Linked DNA regions of Cricetulus griseus. The protein of the gene in region 4 purifies or fractionates together with the protein of the main gene of each other region. This does not show direct contact. Links are inferred from orthologs where the notes say so. Each region holds a gene or a part of one and is shown on either strand. Other genes may lie near its edges. The genes, in order: sodium-dependent dopamine transporter, Park7, Clu and Snca.

What was found.
Region 1: the proteins of Snca (region 4) and sodium-dependent dopamine transporter purify together in Homo sapiens (affinity purification with western blotting; 6 studies listed by BioGRID and IntAct, with this or other methods). This does not show direct contact. The link is inferred for Cricetulus griseus from reciprocal best matches to the Homo sapiens genes SNCA and SLC6A3.
Region 2: the proteins of Snca (region 4) and Park7 purify together in Homo sapiens (affinity purification with western blotting; 3 studies listed by BioGRID and IntAct, with this or other methods). This does not show direct contact. The link is inferred for Cricetulus griseus from reciprocal best matches to the Homo sapiens genes SNCA and PARK7.
Region 3: the proteins of Snca (region 4) and Clu purify together in Homo sapiens (affinity purification with western blotting; 3 studies listed by BioGRID and IntAct, with this or other methods). This does not show direct contact. The link is inferred for Cricetulus griseus from reciprocal best matches to the Homo sapiens genes SNCA and CLU.

What each region holds. Positions count from the first base shown.
Region 1 is NC_048595.1:368,201,720-368,205,841, forward strand, and holds the start of sodium-dependent dopamine transporter, read left to right. Parts: upstream 1-1,279; coding exon 1,280-1,565; intron 1,566-3,595; coding exon 3,596-3,727; intron 3,728-4,122. UniProt on the Homo sapiens protein: Mediates sodium- and chloride-dependent transport of dopamine. Also mediates sodium- and chloride-dependent transport of norepinephrine (also known as noradrenaline). Regulator of light-dependent retinal hyaloid vessel regression, downstream of OPN5 signaling.
Region 2 is NC_048595.1:5,487,970-5,491,532, reverse strand, and holds part of Park7 (Parkinson disease protein 7), read right to left. Parts: intron 3,304-3,563; coding exon 3,202-3,303; intron 1,389-3,201; coding exon 1,329-1,388; intron 492-1,328; coding exon 422-491; intron 1-421. UniProt on the Homo sapiens protein: Multifunctional protein with controversial molecular function which plays an important role in cell protection against oxidative stress and cell death acting as oxidative stress sensor and redox-sensitive chaperone and protease.
Region 3 is NW_023276807.1:220,967,136-220,970,698, reverse strand, and holds part of Clu (clusterin), read right to left. Parts: intron 3,018-3,563; coding exon 2,847-3,017; intron 2,250-2,846; coding exon 1,841-2,249; intron 785-1,840; coding exon 680-784; intron 1-679.
Region 4 is NC_048601.1:81,915,621-81,919,874, reverse strand, and holds the start of Snca (alpha-synuclein), read right to left. Parts: upstream 2,812-4,254; coding exon 2,691-2,811; intron 1-2,690. UniProt on the Homo sapiens protein: Neuronal protein that plays several roles in synaptic activity such as regulation of synaptic vesicle trafficking and subsequent neurotransmitter release.

The DNA.
Region 1 (4,122 bases), on a different chromosome or scaffold from region 4:
TTCACAACATGCCCAAAGCTCCATCTCCCTTCTCCCTCCCCCTACCTTCTCTGGTCTCTTCTGTAAGCCGGGGGCTGAACTCAGGCTGTGGGGAAAGACAGAGAACCTTGACTCAGGAGCCACCTGTTTCCTGATCCAGCTGGTGAAGAAACATGTTTTCCCAGGACCCATTTTGCTATCTGTGTCCATTACCTGAGCCATGAGTTAAGGAATAAGGTGGGGCAGACAGGTGCCACCTGTGTGCCTGTAATAGAGCAGGGAGCAAAACTTGGGACCAGGTCTTTTGCTATGCTCCTTGCCCATTTCACATCCAACCTATTCTGGCAATCCTACCTGCTCCCTAGCAGCTGCAAAACTGTTAGCCCATTTTTGACACATGTGAGGGATTTGCATTTGGGTTTGTCACCAGGGTAAAGAGGCCACAGAGAAGTGGTGCATAAAATAACTTCTGTCAGGAGTTTTTGTTTAGGGATGCAGAGGGAAGTCACCCCATTAGAGCAGCCACCCAGATGTCGGGCTTCCATCAGCGTGCTTGTCTGAGTTCAGTGGAAACAGGCTGTCACTGGGCATGAGGGCTGCTACCTCACTTATGCGCCATGGCCCTGGCTCTGCACAGGAGAAGCTTTCTCTAGGAGTGGTGCTGGTGCAGTGGTGGACTGATCCCTCCCCTGGTGACATTCTGGTTAACTCCCTGTCAGCTCAAAGGCCTGTGAAACCATGGTCATGGTCATGGGCAGGGTGATTTGTATATATGCTCTTTGGAGAAACTGATGACCGTTTGTTTTAGACTTTCAGTTACTGTGGCTGATTTTGGTTATATTCATTTTGCTTTTTATTGTATTACTAAGTGTAAAGAAAGCCACACACCCTTACAGAGACTGAAGTAAGTGGAATGCTGTTGGCAAGGTGGGAAATTGCCTGCCCCCTGGAAATGTGGATAAGCAGTACAGGCAACACCTGGGATTGTTATTAGGAAGCAAATTAGAAACCAAACAAGCCTACACTAATGGGAACGCAGGCTTTGGCAGGAAAGGGAACTGCAGGGGTGTGTCTGTTTCTGGTCTCCACAGCCAGTTTCTCCCTTCTCTATGAACATCCCCCAGCTATCCTTCATCCTGGCCATGGCGTCTCAGAGGGTGCTTGGACTACCTAGGGTCTCTGTGCTCAACTCAGGTACCCTGTAGACATGGCTACTGAACCTGTGCATTGCTCTGTGTTTCTTTATGTTCACTGAAGGCCAAGAAGAAAGAAGCAGAGTTCCTTGGGCTCCAGTCCACCCATGAGTAAGAGCAAATGCTCCGTGGGACCAATGTCCTCTGTGGTAGCCCCGGCTAAAGAGCCCAATGCCATGGGCCCCAGAGAGGTGGAGCTCATCCTGGTCAAGGAGCAGAATGGAATGCAGCTGACTAACTCCACCCTCATCAACCCACCACAGACACCAGTGGAGGCTCAGGAGCGGGAGACCTGGAGCAAGAAAATTGATTTCCTGCTCTCAGTCATCGGCTTTGCTGTAGACCTGGCCAATGTCTGGCGGTTTCCCTACCTGTGCTACAAAAATGGTGGAGGTGAGTGTTGGAGGCCTCCTGTGCCTTTTAAGGGTGGAGCCATGGCAGTTGGTTTGGGGAGTTCAGTGAAGGCCATGGAAGGTACAGTGGGAGCTGTGCTCTCAAGAAATGCTCACAGTGAAGGCTGAGGAGATAACTCAGTAATGCACTTCCTGTGCAAGCATGACGACCTGACTTTGATCTCCAGAACCTCTCCCCCCCCAAAAAAAAATAAAACAGGGCATTATGGCACACATTTGTAATGCTAATTAACACTAGGGAGGTGGAGACAAGTAGAACCTTGGAGATTGATAGCCAACAAGTCTCACTCAGTCTAGCCTATCCAGAGAGCATCAGGCCAGTGACAGACACTGTCTCAAAAATCAAGGTGGGCAGCTCCTGAGGAACGACACCCAAGGATGATGCCTGGCCTCACAGATGCTCACATGCTCCTGTGTACACAGGACCATTCACATAACAGGAAATACTGTCAGTGAGACAATCCTGTCCCGAGTAGGACAGTGAGGCTGCTCACCAGCAGCAGTGCCTTCAGTCTTCCCGAGCTGGAGACCTCAGAAAATCTGACTGCCAAGGAACATGGAACCCAGGGAGCAGAGAGGAGAAGGGAGTAGGTGGAAGCATCAGGTCCTGACTTCTATTTCCACTAGTATTTCTACTTTGTAAAGAAAATTCTAAAAGACCAAAAGAACATATTTTAAGACAACTTCAACAGTGTTTATAGAGCTGTTGAACTTTGTACAATTTCAAGTTAAACTTAGAAAGGCAAAAGATGCCCCTGAACTGAAATATACCCATCTCCTCTATGTCCTCTCTACCTCTCTCCACCTTCCCCATCCTGTGTGTGTCTGTGTGACTGTGTCCTTCCTTTCTTCCTTCCTTCTTCTTCCTTCCTGCTTTCCTTCCTTCAGTTTTTCTTTAAATGCAGTTATGGGAATTGAACCCAGAGCCTTGTGCATGCTGGCAAGCACTCTATAGCACTGAGTCACATCCATAGCCCTCTTGATATTTTTAGTTTGAATCAGGATTTCACTGTTAACTAGGCAGTTCTTGAACTCATCCTGTAGATCAGGCAGGCCTTGAACATATGGTCTTCCTGCCTTTAGCCTCTGGAGTAGCTGGGATTATGGGTCTATGCCACCAAGCCTGGCTTCCCCACTCTCTAGTCTCAGCTATAGAGCCGTAGCTGTGCAGTGGAGCTAAAAAGAAGACAAGGAGCAGGGTTAACACAGAAATTCAAGTTGAGCCCAGAAGGCCTCTATTTCCATGGCTTGGTCTCCCTGACTGGCTGCAGGATAAAAGAATTGCTTTGGGAAAGAAGGGCTCACTCAAGCAAATCCATGAGCACAATTGCTTAATTACATACTTTAGAAGGTGAGAGGCCCAAGGCCTCAGCAGCCCCAGTAAGTGACCCAAAGACAGGTGAGGAGATTCCCATCTTCCTCATCAAGACCTCAGGAGAAAGCTGTGGCCAAGCTCAGACTCACTCAAGTTGAGGGGAGCAAGAGGACTCTGGTGGGGTGCAACCTTTGTGGAGTGGAGTGTGCAGGTTAAGCAAACCAAGCTCTGCACTCTGGCTCCAGGAAACTCCCGACTGCAGAAACTCAGCTCTAGTCTCCACAGAAGCAGGCTGTCAGGATTAGGTCACTGATCCCAGGACCACAACTCTCAAGGGGTAAGAGTGAAACCAGGCATGAAGAGGCAGACAGTGCTGGGAGTGATGCTGAGAAGTGATGCTCCAGACTTTGACTGCCTTGCTTCTGGCTGAGCTTGGGACATAGGGTGGGGTGACAATCAGAGGCATTGAGCAGAACATGTCCAACACTGACTGCGGCTGGGACAGGCAAGGAGGTGGGGTTTATCACACATTCAGGATATCCCCTTGGGTGGTAGCTATTCAGAGAGCCTCTCACTGCAGACAGGATGCTAGGTGACAAGATCATACTCAAAGGTACGACATCAGGGCCCACATATGGATAATGAAAGCAGCCCCCTTCTGTGGCCCCAAGCTGAAGCTGTTGTCCTGTGCACAGGTGCCTTCCTGGTGCCCTACCTGCTCTTCATGGTTATTGCTGGGATGCCCCTCTTCTACATGGAGCTGGCCCTTGGACAGTTCAACAGAGAAGGAGCTGCTGGAGTCTGGAAGATATGCCCTGTCCTGAAAGGTAACATGCAGGGATGTGTCCCCCCATGAGGCATGGCCATTTTTCTGGGGCTTCAGAACAAGATGATGGCATTATATACAGGTTCTGCTTTCCTAAACTGTGTGGACATATGCATATGCTCTTCTAAAATGGGTCCTGCCTTAAAGACTGTAATGAACAGGAATCTTCTAGAGCATTCCCTTGCTCCTAAGCCAGGCTGCCCTGCAGCTAAGTGGTGGTAAATTTGTCAGGGTATTAAAATGGTAAAATTAAAAATAAAACCTACTTATCTGTCATCTGTCTATCAGTCATCTACTTACCTATTTATGAACCATTCAGCAAGCACCCTTCTAATCTATCATCTGTCTATTCATGTATCAGTCATCTATCTGTACAACCATCTATCTCCAATCATC
Region 2 (3,563 bases), on a different chromosome or scaffold from region 4:
TATCTGAAGCCATGGGTGTCAAGGGGCATTGAAGCAAACCCTCAGCAAGCAGGAGGCAGGAGAGCCCCAGCTAGAGCTGTGGTGTTCAGGCCACACAGATTCTTGCTGACTCTCCTGGCAGGCCAGACTGCTGGCACAGAGATCTGCTGCGACAGGCTGTTTGCTGGATTCCAGAGGTCTTATCCCCAGGTCAACCAGCTAGGGAAAACAGTGAGTTCCACAGACTTGAGACCCAGAGCATGGAGAGACGAAGAGTTCAACAGTCATGCTCAGTGAGGCAATGACACAACTTCATGGCACCCTAACCAAACACCCAGTGTGGGTGCCTTTTTGGTTCACGAAGGTAAGTTGTATGCATTCAAACTTCCAGGCAGGCTGGCCCCTCAGCCAGCTGCGTGGTCCACACCCTGTACTTACTCACCTGCACAGATGGCAGCTATGAGGCCCTTCCTGCTTTCCTGCTCCTTCAAGATCTCCTTCACCACAGCTGACTAGAGAGAGAACACAAACACCTAGTCACCACTGAACCACAGAGCACCTTACAAGGAGAGCAGGGCACTCACTCGAGGCTTAGTTTACTTCCACCTGCTTTCCAGAAAGAGCTCTAAATCAGTAAACACAAAAGTGACAGGTTCCCACATTCCCCCCAAGAGAAAGGCCCACCTCAATGAAGACGGGCAGGAAAAAACAGTGTCATCGGGGCACATGACCCTGGTCCTGTGCTCTGGAAGGGGCAGAAGTGAGGAGACATGGGGTTCAGTAGCTTCAGATGGCAGATGGGACAAGACCCCAGTAGGAACTGTCCACCGACTGCCCCTGCCTGTTCATAGCCCACTCCCTACTCCCGACGCCTTCCCGTCTGACTCGGCACATCGGGCCGCCTCTGATGCCACCCTGTATTCACACTGGCCCTCATCGGGCCACCTCTGATGCCTCCCTGTATTCACACTGGCCCTCATCGGGCCACCTCTGATGCCACCCTGTATTCACACTGGTCCTCTGGCCCCACAGCTGCCCCCGAGCCCGGGGGACAGAGCAGGCAGCACTTGCTAGGCTGCTGCCGAGCCGGGACCTTTGCAGCTCACTTTGGGCTGCATTCGCCGAGCCTGTTTGCAGCAGCTGCTCCACCAATTCAGCTTACTTCTGCAGTAAGTGTTCTCAGAACCATGCTTTGCAATGCTGGACACCACCAGCTAACTTCGGCTATCTCTCCTGCATCTCACGCACCACTCCTGGTGCACACCAGAACAAACACAGCACAACAGAGTAGAAGCTACAAGACTTTCTTCATACGTGCTTCAATGAGGTGTAACTGAGCAGTTTTTTACCTCAGATAAATTCTGTGCACCCAGATTGCCTCCTGGAAGAACCACCACGTCGTATGGTCCCTGTGAGTAGGGAAATAAAAGAGAACATTTTATTTCTACTGTGTTAAATGGTAGCCCAGTAACAGCTTCGTATCTGAAGACGCACCATCTGCCACAGACCGGCAGTGTGCACATGGAGGTGGGGTTATACATACGCATCTCTAGGTAGAGCACACTCTTAGCACAAGTGAGACCCTGGATCTGATTCTCCAACACTAAAAATAAATAACTAAGTGGCAGGCATAGTGGTGGCACCTGAAGGAGGAAGCAGGGGCCTCAAAACAACAACAACAAAAATCAAATAAACAAATAAAGGTATATCCCTACGGTGGAACATTGTAAGCAAAAAAAAAAAAGACAGAAGGAAAGAAAGATGCAGACTTGAGGGCTGGAGAGATGGCTCAGCAGTTAAACTTTTGCTGCTCCTGCAGAGAACTAGAGTTCAGTCGCCAGCACCCACATGGTGGCTCACAACTCCATATTAACTCCAGCTCCAGGGGAATCAGCACCCTCTTCTGGCCTCTGTTAAGTATCCAGAGACACAGCATTCACTCACACAAACACACACACAAACTCACACACAAATAATCTCGTTTGTTTATGTATGTATTTTACGTGTATGAGTGCTCTGTCTTCACACAAACCAGAAAAAGGAATCTGATCTCATTACAGATGGTTGTGAACCGCCATGTGGCTGCTGGGAATTGAACTCAGGACCTCTGGAAGAGCAGCCAGTGCTCTCTCTTAACCTCTGAGCCATCTCTCCAGCTCAGCAATACTGAAACTTCTTAGAGAGCAATGCAGGTCTCTCCATGTGAGACAGGTGGGGGACCTGCACTCATGACCTGCCTTTCTTTCCCTCCTTCGCTGCAGTGTCTCTGCTCTACAGGGCACAGCCCATCTCTTATCACTCTGAGCCATGACCTCTGACCTATGGTAGTGTCTAAGGGTCAGTGGGCAGGGATGCTTTGGAGGAAAGTGATCCTAGCCTTCCAAAGACAACCAACAGTACCCGTCATCGTACAATGCACAGAAAGCAGAACCGTGGAAGGAGAGCTCTCACCTCTACCCCAATCCAACTACACATCACCTACGCAATACCCCACAGGAAAGGAATCCTGCAACTCTACCTGTCACTCTCAGAGGAAAGGGGAGGGAAGAAAAAGGAGCCCGGCCCATTATCCAGCTACCAGGGAAGCCCAGACAGAGGGGTTAGGAGTCAGGCCTGCCTGGGCCACAGGAGTGCCACTTCCAAAACCCTGTCTCAAAACAAATCTTTAACAAAGGAGGAAGAGGCTAGGAGGATGAAAGTTACTGGCAGAGACCTTTCGTGGCCGTGTAAGACCCAAAGTTCAGCTACCAGTACTGAGAAAGTCACCTCCTTAAGAGGTAAGGAGGCCTCTGGGAGAAAAGTGCCAATGAAGAACAATGCTCCCACTCAGCCACCATCTGTGAGCTCTCCACCCACCCCACCCACTCACAAGTCACAGGAGCCAGCCATTCCCATCCAGGAGGATCATTGTCTTTAATTCTGTTTGTTTTTTTCTGAGACAGGGTTTCACTGTGTAGCCCTGGCTGTCCTGGATCTTGCTCTGTATGTAGACCAAGCTGTCCTTGAACTCACAGAGATCCACCTGTCTCTGCCTCCCAAGTGCCAGGATCAAAGGTGTGTACCACCAACACCGGGCAGAATCATTTTCTTAAGTCCATTCTAACGGCAGTCATAGATACAGCCAAAAGCCATTTCAAAACAAACAAACAAACAAACAAACAAACAAACAAACAAGAAACTGGTAAGCCCCAAGAAGGAAAAGTTCAGATATACAAAACAAACCTGCTTTTTTGCATCTTCAAGACTGGTGTCAGGACAAATCATTACATCACGGCTACACTGCACGGGGTCTTTCCCAGCCAGGCCTGCAATAGTGACTTTAATCTGGAGAAAGAGCAGATGTTCAAGAACATGGAAATATACAGACACAGGGCGACACTTAATACCCATTCGGTGGTTTTAAGTAACTTGTCAGAGATTACCACAAAACCAAGCAGAGGCAATGGCCAGATATATTAAATAGCAGGAATCTTATGGTTTGTCCAAGGACAGTACTAATTTGTAGCTGAGCTGCTACCGCAGTTCTGACTGGCTAGAACACCCTCTACGCTACAAATGTTGAGTTCGGAGATGAATTACAGAGT
Region 3 (3,563 bases), on a different chromosome or scaffold from region 4:
AGATGGAAAGAGCTGTACCCAGCTCACAAGATCATTCTGAAGGGTGAACAAACATCTGTGAAGTGTTTACAACAGTGCCTGGCACGTGGTGAATGCTCATTAAACAAAATGCCTGTCCTCTAAGAAGAGAGAGAGAGAGAGAGAGACAGAGAGAGAGAGAGAGAGACAGAGAGAGACAGAGAGAGAGAGAGAGAAACCCTGACTCAGAAGACCAAAAAAAAAAAAAAAAAAGAGCAAGGCCTACTATACTTGGCACTGCAGACAAAGTAACCAGGGGAACGAGCTGTGGATTGCTGGTGGTTGTAGTCATATTCTATGATGACACCCACCATGAACTGTGGGTTTACCATGGGCCACCAAGGTGGAATGTGCTTCAGATACACCTCATCTGTGTTAGAACAATCTGCATCTGAACTTGACTCTAAGTACAATGGTTGTGGCTCACTGGTGAAACACTTGCCCAGCAGGGTTGAGGCACTGTGTTCTACTGTAGCTCCCAAATAATGAACCTAACTCTAGACATGAGGACAGTAGACTGTGCATCAAGGTGAGGACCCTCTCAGGGACCACAGCTCACAGACAGAGAGCTAGTCTCTGCAGGATAGCAGTGCCAGTGAGTCCCTGGTGACCCAAAGTCAGATGACCACAGTACCAGATTGTAGAATGGTCATCCACTCACCCACAGACAAGATCTCCTGGCATTTCTCACACTGGCCCTTCATCTTCAGGCACCCTGTGGAGTTGTGGCGGATCTCCTTGCACACTGCACGGTCATCTTCACCTTCTGGACACATATGATGGGAGAAAGAGGCAGATTGAGGCACACAGCACTTTGGAAGGGAGCCCACCTGACACTCCTCCACACCTCTGCTCAGCCCTGTGGTCAGGGAAAGATGCCGGTGATTGTTTCCCTGTGGCTCCCAGAGAATATCTCCAAGTCTCTTCAGCAGGTACAGCCTACGCTCCCACTGTCTCTATCTGAGGAGCTCTCTCCTGCCACATTCCCCCAGTTGTGTGCCTTCTGGCATCACAGCACACTCTCTGTTCGCTGATCTCCTTGGCTGGTGGTACTCCCTAACTGGCCATCGAGCCCCATGGTACACACCACACCATGTAGAACATAGTATTAGGACACAAATATCTGAAGGAGAATATTGCTCCTCAGACACTGGCTTCCTCTGTCCATGTTACATTTCATCCCTTCAGACATTGCACACTAAGGTCCAGGCCACGAATCTTCTTTAAGGGCGATAAAGGCTGTAATACAGTTCATGCCTGGAAGGACAGGCTTCCAAAGCACACCCTCAAGAGTCTCTAAGAAAGAAGTTGTGATCCTGTGGGAGGCACAGGCCAAGTCACACCCTTAGTTGGCTACAAAGAACAAAAGAACACAGGCTCCAATCTCTCTCTGTCTCTCTCTCTGTCTCTCTCTCTGTCTCTCTCTCTGTCTCTCTGTCTCTCTCTCTCTCTCTCTCTCTCTCTCATTAGGATTTCTCTCTCTAGATAGGATTTCTCTGTGTAACCATTGTGGCTGTCCTGGAACTCGATTTGTAGACCAGGCTGGCCTTGAACTCACAGAGATCCACCTACCTCTGTCTCCTGAGTGTTGGAATTAAAGGTGTGCATCACTGAAGCCTGGTCAGACTCCAATCTCTACAGTGCTAAATTGAACTAGACCCCACTTTGTCATCTGCATTCCTTTACCCCCTCTCCTAGTTCCTTTACCCTATAAATGGAGAAAATACCAGCCTATAGGGCTGCTAGGAACATGAAAACAGCACACACCAAGCCCTGCAAGAGCTTTAACATCTGGGAGATAAGAAAGCAAGTATTTTCTGACCTCTTAAACCCTTGTCCGGGAACTGGAAGGCTGGTCTGTGGAACTGGACATCCATGGCCTGTTGTGCCTGGTGTATCATTTCTAAGAATGGCTGGAACATGTCGTGGAAGCTCGGGGGCCCATAGTGGGAGAGAGGGATGAGGCTACGGACCAAGCGGGACTTGGGATATAAGAAATGAGGCCTCCTGTGTGGAAAGCCGAAGGGTGAGAAGTAGTGGGTGTCCTGGGGCTCATGGGTGAAGAACCGGTCCTGGAAAAGCATGTCCATGATTCCAGATGCCCGGGTAAAGCTGTCCTGCATGGCATCTAGGACTTGGCTCTGCTGTCGGTCACTCTCCATCAGGGAGTCAATGCGGTCACCATTCATCCAGAAGTAGAAGGGTGAACTCTGGTTCAGAAACTCCTCCAGCTGGGACCCAGAGAAGCACAGTAAGGAGATGTTGACTCCAGCCTCATCCTCCTCTGATCACATAGCAGGTGACCCAAGTCCCCACTGTTCTCCTAGGTACCCTGTCGGCTAGTACCACTCCATCTACCTCTCATCGTGAGACCAGAGACTCACAATTCTCATCACTTCAAGAGAGTCCCCTGGCATCTTTGACCGTAGAGGACAGCCACTCCCACTTAGGTGGTCAGCCTTCAGGAAACAGTGACTCGTACTGAGTTCCAGCCTTGTGAAGCTCACAGGCAGAGATAGAATCAATGCTAATATACTAAATATTCTTAATTCCCTCTCCCTAGACGAGCACAGGATTCTGCCATACTATGAGGCCATTTTACCCAGCTAGTTAAAGGTCTTCTAAGAGATGGTACCTGGCAAGCACACCTTTGATGGTTGTTTACGTCTGCACTCAATGTCAGATATCACCAATTAACCCTGACACTAGAAAGGCAAGTCGTCAAGCCATGCTAGTCAACTGTATCCAGCATATGGAACGAGGCCTATTTCATGGATTCTCCACATTCCCCATCCAGAGCCCAGGCCATGTACATGTCTCCTTCTCACCTGGCGGCCAACCAGACCAGAGCCGCTTCTGCAGACACGTGCATAGAACTTCATGCAGGTCTGCTTCAGGCAGGGCTTGCACTCTTCCCAGAGGGCCATCATGGTCTCATTGCACACTTCCGGGAATGCCTTCAACTTCATTTCAGTATCCCTGGTGTCATCTAGAGCATCCTTCAGGAAGATAACAAGGCCAGGTGAGCCACACAGAGACCTGGCAGGCCTCCCTGGTCTATGGACAACGTGCTACTGCTGCCTTCATTTTTGCTCTAGCCCTGAAGCCCTCATCTTTGCTCTAGCCCACATGTCTTGCTGTCCCTGCTGGGCTCTCAGCAGCCTCTTACCTTTCAAGTACCAGCTGCTTCCTAAGCTTTCCCTGACCTCTCTGACTCGCTGCTCTGACAGTCTCTTCCTCAGGCTCCACCTCTCCCTTACACCTCACTTCCTCTTCTCATCTCCCCAAAGACCCAGTGTCACCTTTCTGTTGTAACTGTGGCCCCTGACATGCAAATCAAAGCTATGAAAACAGAAGTCACATCAACCATCAAGCTCATTACCATGCCCCTGGCCCATCATTGGCTCTAGGGATTGCCAAAATAAAAATTTTAGAACCAGTTCTGATGGGGAATGTACTTCTTTGTATGTTTATCTTATTGATTATTGAATAAAATACTGTTTGGCCAATGAAACAGCAAGTTAGGCAGGACTAGGAGTCAACGA
Region 4 (4,254 bases):
CCACCGTGCCACTGAGACAAATTGTAGCCCAGATTATTTCTAATCCTTCAGGCTAATTATTGATGATAGTTTTATATATTTGGTGAAAAATAAGAGGAAATCATGTTGAGTGGAATAGCTTATTTAATAAAAATCAAGTTTCCTAAATATGAAAGTGCACTTGGTTACACATTTCCACAAAAGCTCTGCAAAGGAATTGTACTTTTATGAACTACATTATTTGTGGAAAAGGGAAGGAAATTCAAAGACATTAACTTCCTCAAGATCCTAAAGGTAGAAGTGATGTAGCTTGTATTAAATTTATGTTTGTTTGATAAGTTATAGCCCAATTCCCTTTCACTTTTTTCTAGCCTATAAGTTAACCCCAGCTTCTTGTTTTGATAAATAAAAACTGAAACAGCACCACACTGGTTATTGCCCATGGTTGCTTTCACACTTTAACAGTAGACCTGATTATCTGAGACAGATTGGCCGAAATAAGTTTGAAAATTAACAAAAGTTGACCAAAATCTTAACTTAATTCTTACCTTTAGACCTCACTTTTCATAGTAAATTCTATGCATGTGTTTGGCTTTTTTTTGTTTGTTTGATTGGTTGGTTTTGTTGAGACAGGGTTTCTCTGTATTGCTTTGGAGCCTGTCCTTGAACTCTGTAGACCAGGCTGGCCTCAAACTCACAAAGATCCACCTGTCTCTGCCTCCCCAGTGCTGGAATTAAAGGCATGTGCCACCACCACCCACGTTCAGCTTTTAATTAGACTCCAGAACATAACCAGCAATTGATTAATTATATATGTATTAAATATAACAACATTGATAATTTTAGTAACATTAGACTTATTGAAACATTATGCTTTTTACATAATTGCCTCGCAGTGAACAACAAAATTAATCTTTGAAAAATCTAATCACTTTATTTGCCTAAACTCACAATTAACAATAAAACATGAAAGTGTTCTACTTGATAAGATCTGTTTATTAACTAGAAAGAATAATAAATTAATATTCAGTAACTTCTACATTTGCTTAAAATTAATGCTCTAGCTGGAAGGTGGTGACACATGCCTTTAATCCCAGTACCAGGAGGCAGAGGCAGGTGGATTTCAGTGAGTTCAAGGCCAGACTAGTCTAAATAGTGAGTTTCAGGACAGCCAGAACCATAAGAGAAACCCTGTCTCAAAAAAAAAAAAAAAATTAAAAAAGAAAATTAGGTGACTAGTTGTCTAAAAAGAAGAAAGATAACATTCACTAAGTAACTAATTAAAAAATGTAGTCATGGGTCTATAGTTGCAGGATGTGGGAGACTTTGAGGCCCTGAAAAATCTACAAATAACTGATTTTATATTCTGGATTCTATCAAAAACATTGACCTCACTGTTCCCAAAAGAAGCACTTGACTCACACCTTTCTCTTTTAATATTCATTTCAAGACTTTCTGAAAGGTTGTTTTGAGGTGGAAAGGGAGTCAACATAAAAACAATCTATGAGGAATGAGCAAAGGTGATATGCTAGAAACTTTGAAAGTTCATGAAAGGTTTTTTCCCACTAATCAGTTAGAGCTGGAGCGCCAGCACAGCTTCCCACTTTTGGTAAGTCTCAGTCTCAGTGTGTGGCCTCTCTGTCACCTCTGCCACTTGTCTGTTCCATTTCCATCTTAAGGTTGACCCTTTGCCTTCTACTGAGATAGAGGCCCCCTAAGAAGGTAGGGAAGCTCAGAGAAGCACAGAGGGGGCAGGTGAGTCATGCATCCTTGCTCCCTTGTGCACCTGGGTCTCTGCTGGAGATGAATGTGCATGCATACATATATGTCTTTTCCCTCCATCAAAGTACTGGAAGTGCAACCAGTTTAACACAGGGAAAGCCAGTAAACAGTGTTGACCTCTGTCTCAAGGTTTACACTTAGGCACAAAAGGCACCGAGTATCAACCTCTTGCTCTTTCCTGTGTGCATCATCCAGGTGATTACACAAACACATCTGAGGTTCCTTGAGCTTCATCTCAAAAGGGAGATCCACTAAGAACAACTTGCCTTTTTTTTTTTTTCTATTGGGGGACCAAAGTAGGTGTATTTTCACAGATATTAAATACAATCATACTACAGTTTTATTTTTAAAATTGCAATTAACAAGTATTATCTATGGTGATGATGAAAGAAGCCAAAGTCCCGTGAGGGCCTGGGACTCCTCTTGTTTTGTTTTGTTTTGTTTTGTTTTGTTTTGTGATGGGATTTCATGTAGACTGGACTGACCCTGAACTCACTATGTAGCTAAAGATGATCTTCAACTCCTGACCCTTGGGCCTCCATGTCCCAAATGTTGGGATTCCACATGCCACCATCCTGCTGCTGTAAATGGGTCTGATTCATAAGCATATTCTTAGTTATTTTTCATGGGTTGCCAGTTTTAAAAATCCCAATGTGCTCACACACACACACACACACACACACACACACACACACACACACACACACAGAAACATGGAAAACCCTAAGTAAGCAATAAAATTAAGTATTCTAAGGAAAGAAAACATTGTTCCCATTTGTTTCTGAGAGCTAACAAGCAGATTCACAATTCTCTCACCTCCACATACCTGTCACTCTCCTGAGAAGCAGCTATGTGCATGAATCAGACACCACATGCCAGCACTGAGTGATTAGCCACTCCAACTCATCAGTCACGGCACCACTACCTACCTACATAGAGGACTCCCTCTTTTGTCTTTCCTGCTGCTTCTGCCACACCCTGCTTGGTTTTTTCAGCAGCAGCCACAACTCCTTCCTTGGCCTTGGAAAGTCCTTTCATGAACACATCCATGGCGAAAGATGTCTTTTCCTCCACTCTAGAGAATACACAATACACTTTGAATTAAAAATTTGAGTAAAAGAAAACAAGATTAAAGCAGCTAGAATGGGAAGAATTTTTTTAAAAATCAAGGAAGAAATCACTGAAAAATCAGTAGAGACCCCCCCTCCCCAATCTCTGTGTAAATGAACACTCGTTTTTTTTGTTTGTTTGTTTGTTTGTTTGTTTGCTTGCTTGCTTGCTTGTTTTGAGGACTGGGCATGGTGTTGCTTGTCAGCTTTTTCACTCAAATCTAGGAAGAGTCAAGCCACTTAAAGATGGGATGGATCCAGATGGATCACCTGGCCATTCTTACAGCAGCTGGAAAATGGAGTTACATGGCAAGATGGGTGGACTCTACCCCATCAAGTTCCCAGGGCCTAAAGGCGACATTCTAAGTAAAAAGCTTGTCTAGAAAACCAATGGAAGGGGGTACTGAAGTCGGGGGCAAGGGTAAAAGGACTCAGAAAGGGGTTAGTAAGTGTTTAGTCTTAGGAGAGGGGAAGGAAGGGAACTGCTTACTTCAAGATGAAGGGAACAGCACGCCAACTGTCATCAGCCCAGCTGTTCAAATCTAACAAGACCTTCCACCCACTGCTAGCTCTCCAGTCTGTTATCTGCCCGGAGCAGGCGCTGTCCACACACTTGAGCCGGCTCACTTCAGCTCTACCCAACCTGGGGGCCCTGTCCTCAACTGGAATCTGCTTGAAAACCCTGCACCCCCGTGCTCATTAACCCCTTATCACCTGTTGCCAAGTGCCTTAGGCACTTTTATTAATCACTGGCCAAATGTAGCCTCCTTACACTCCAGATAAGAGATAGAACGTGCCCGGGGTGGGGGATGAAAGTTGGATGCTCAGGTTTCTCCCAACGCCCAGCGCTCAGCTTCCAGGACCCAGCACCCAACACGAAACACCCTGGCGTTTCCGCTCGAAAAAGCAGATGCCACGAACAGCCTGGTTTCCCCTCGGGCTTTGGGAGAATGGAAGAGCACGTCTCTAGCGCGAGGAAAGCCAAGTAATGTACTTTCAATGCACTGGCCGTGTCCCCACCGCTGAGGTAGCCTCAGCTGGAGATCTCCCAGGCATCGGGACTCCTCTTAGCCAGGGTTCTCCGGGATCCCCAGAGCTGCTGCTATCTACAGGTACTTACCGGCGCCCTTGGCTTCGCAGAATTCAGATTCCTCCTCTCTGCCCCTGATCTTATTTCAGTGGCAGTGGAAAGGAAGGCTCTGGGCGGAGGGGCAGGGGCAGCACCTGCTGGTCTCCTGCCGTCTGCTGCTAGGCGCTCTGGCTCCCCGGCTCCTCCACGTCGCCCCCGCAGCTGATTTGTCAGCGCCTCTCCCCGCCCCTCGCCTGCCTCGTGCCTTCGTCCCTTTCCTGGGGAGGGATGGGATGGAGATGCGTGAGGGCTGCG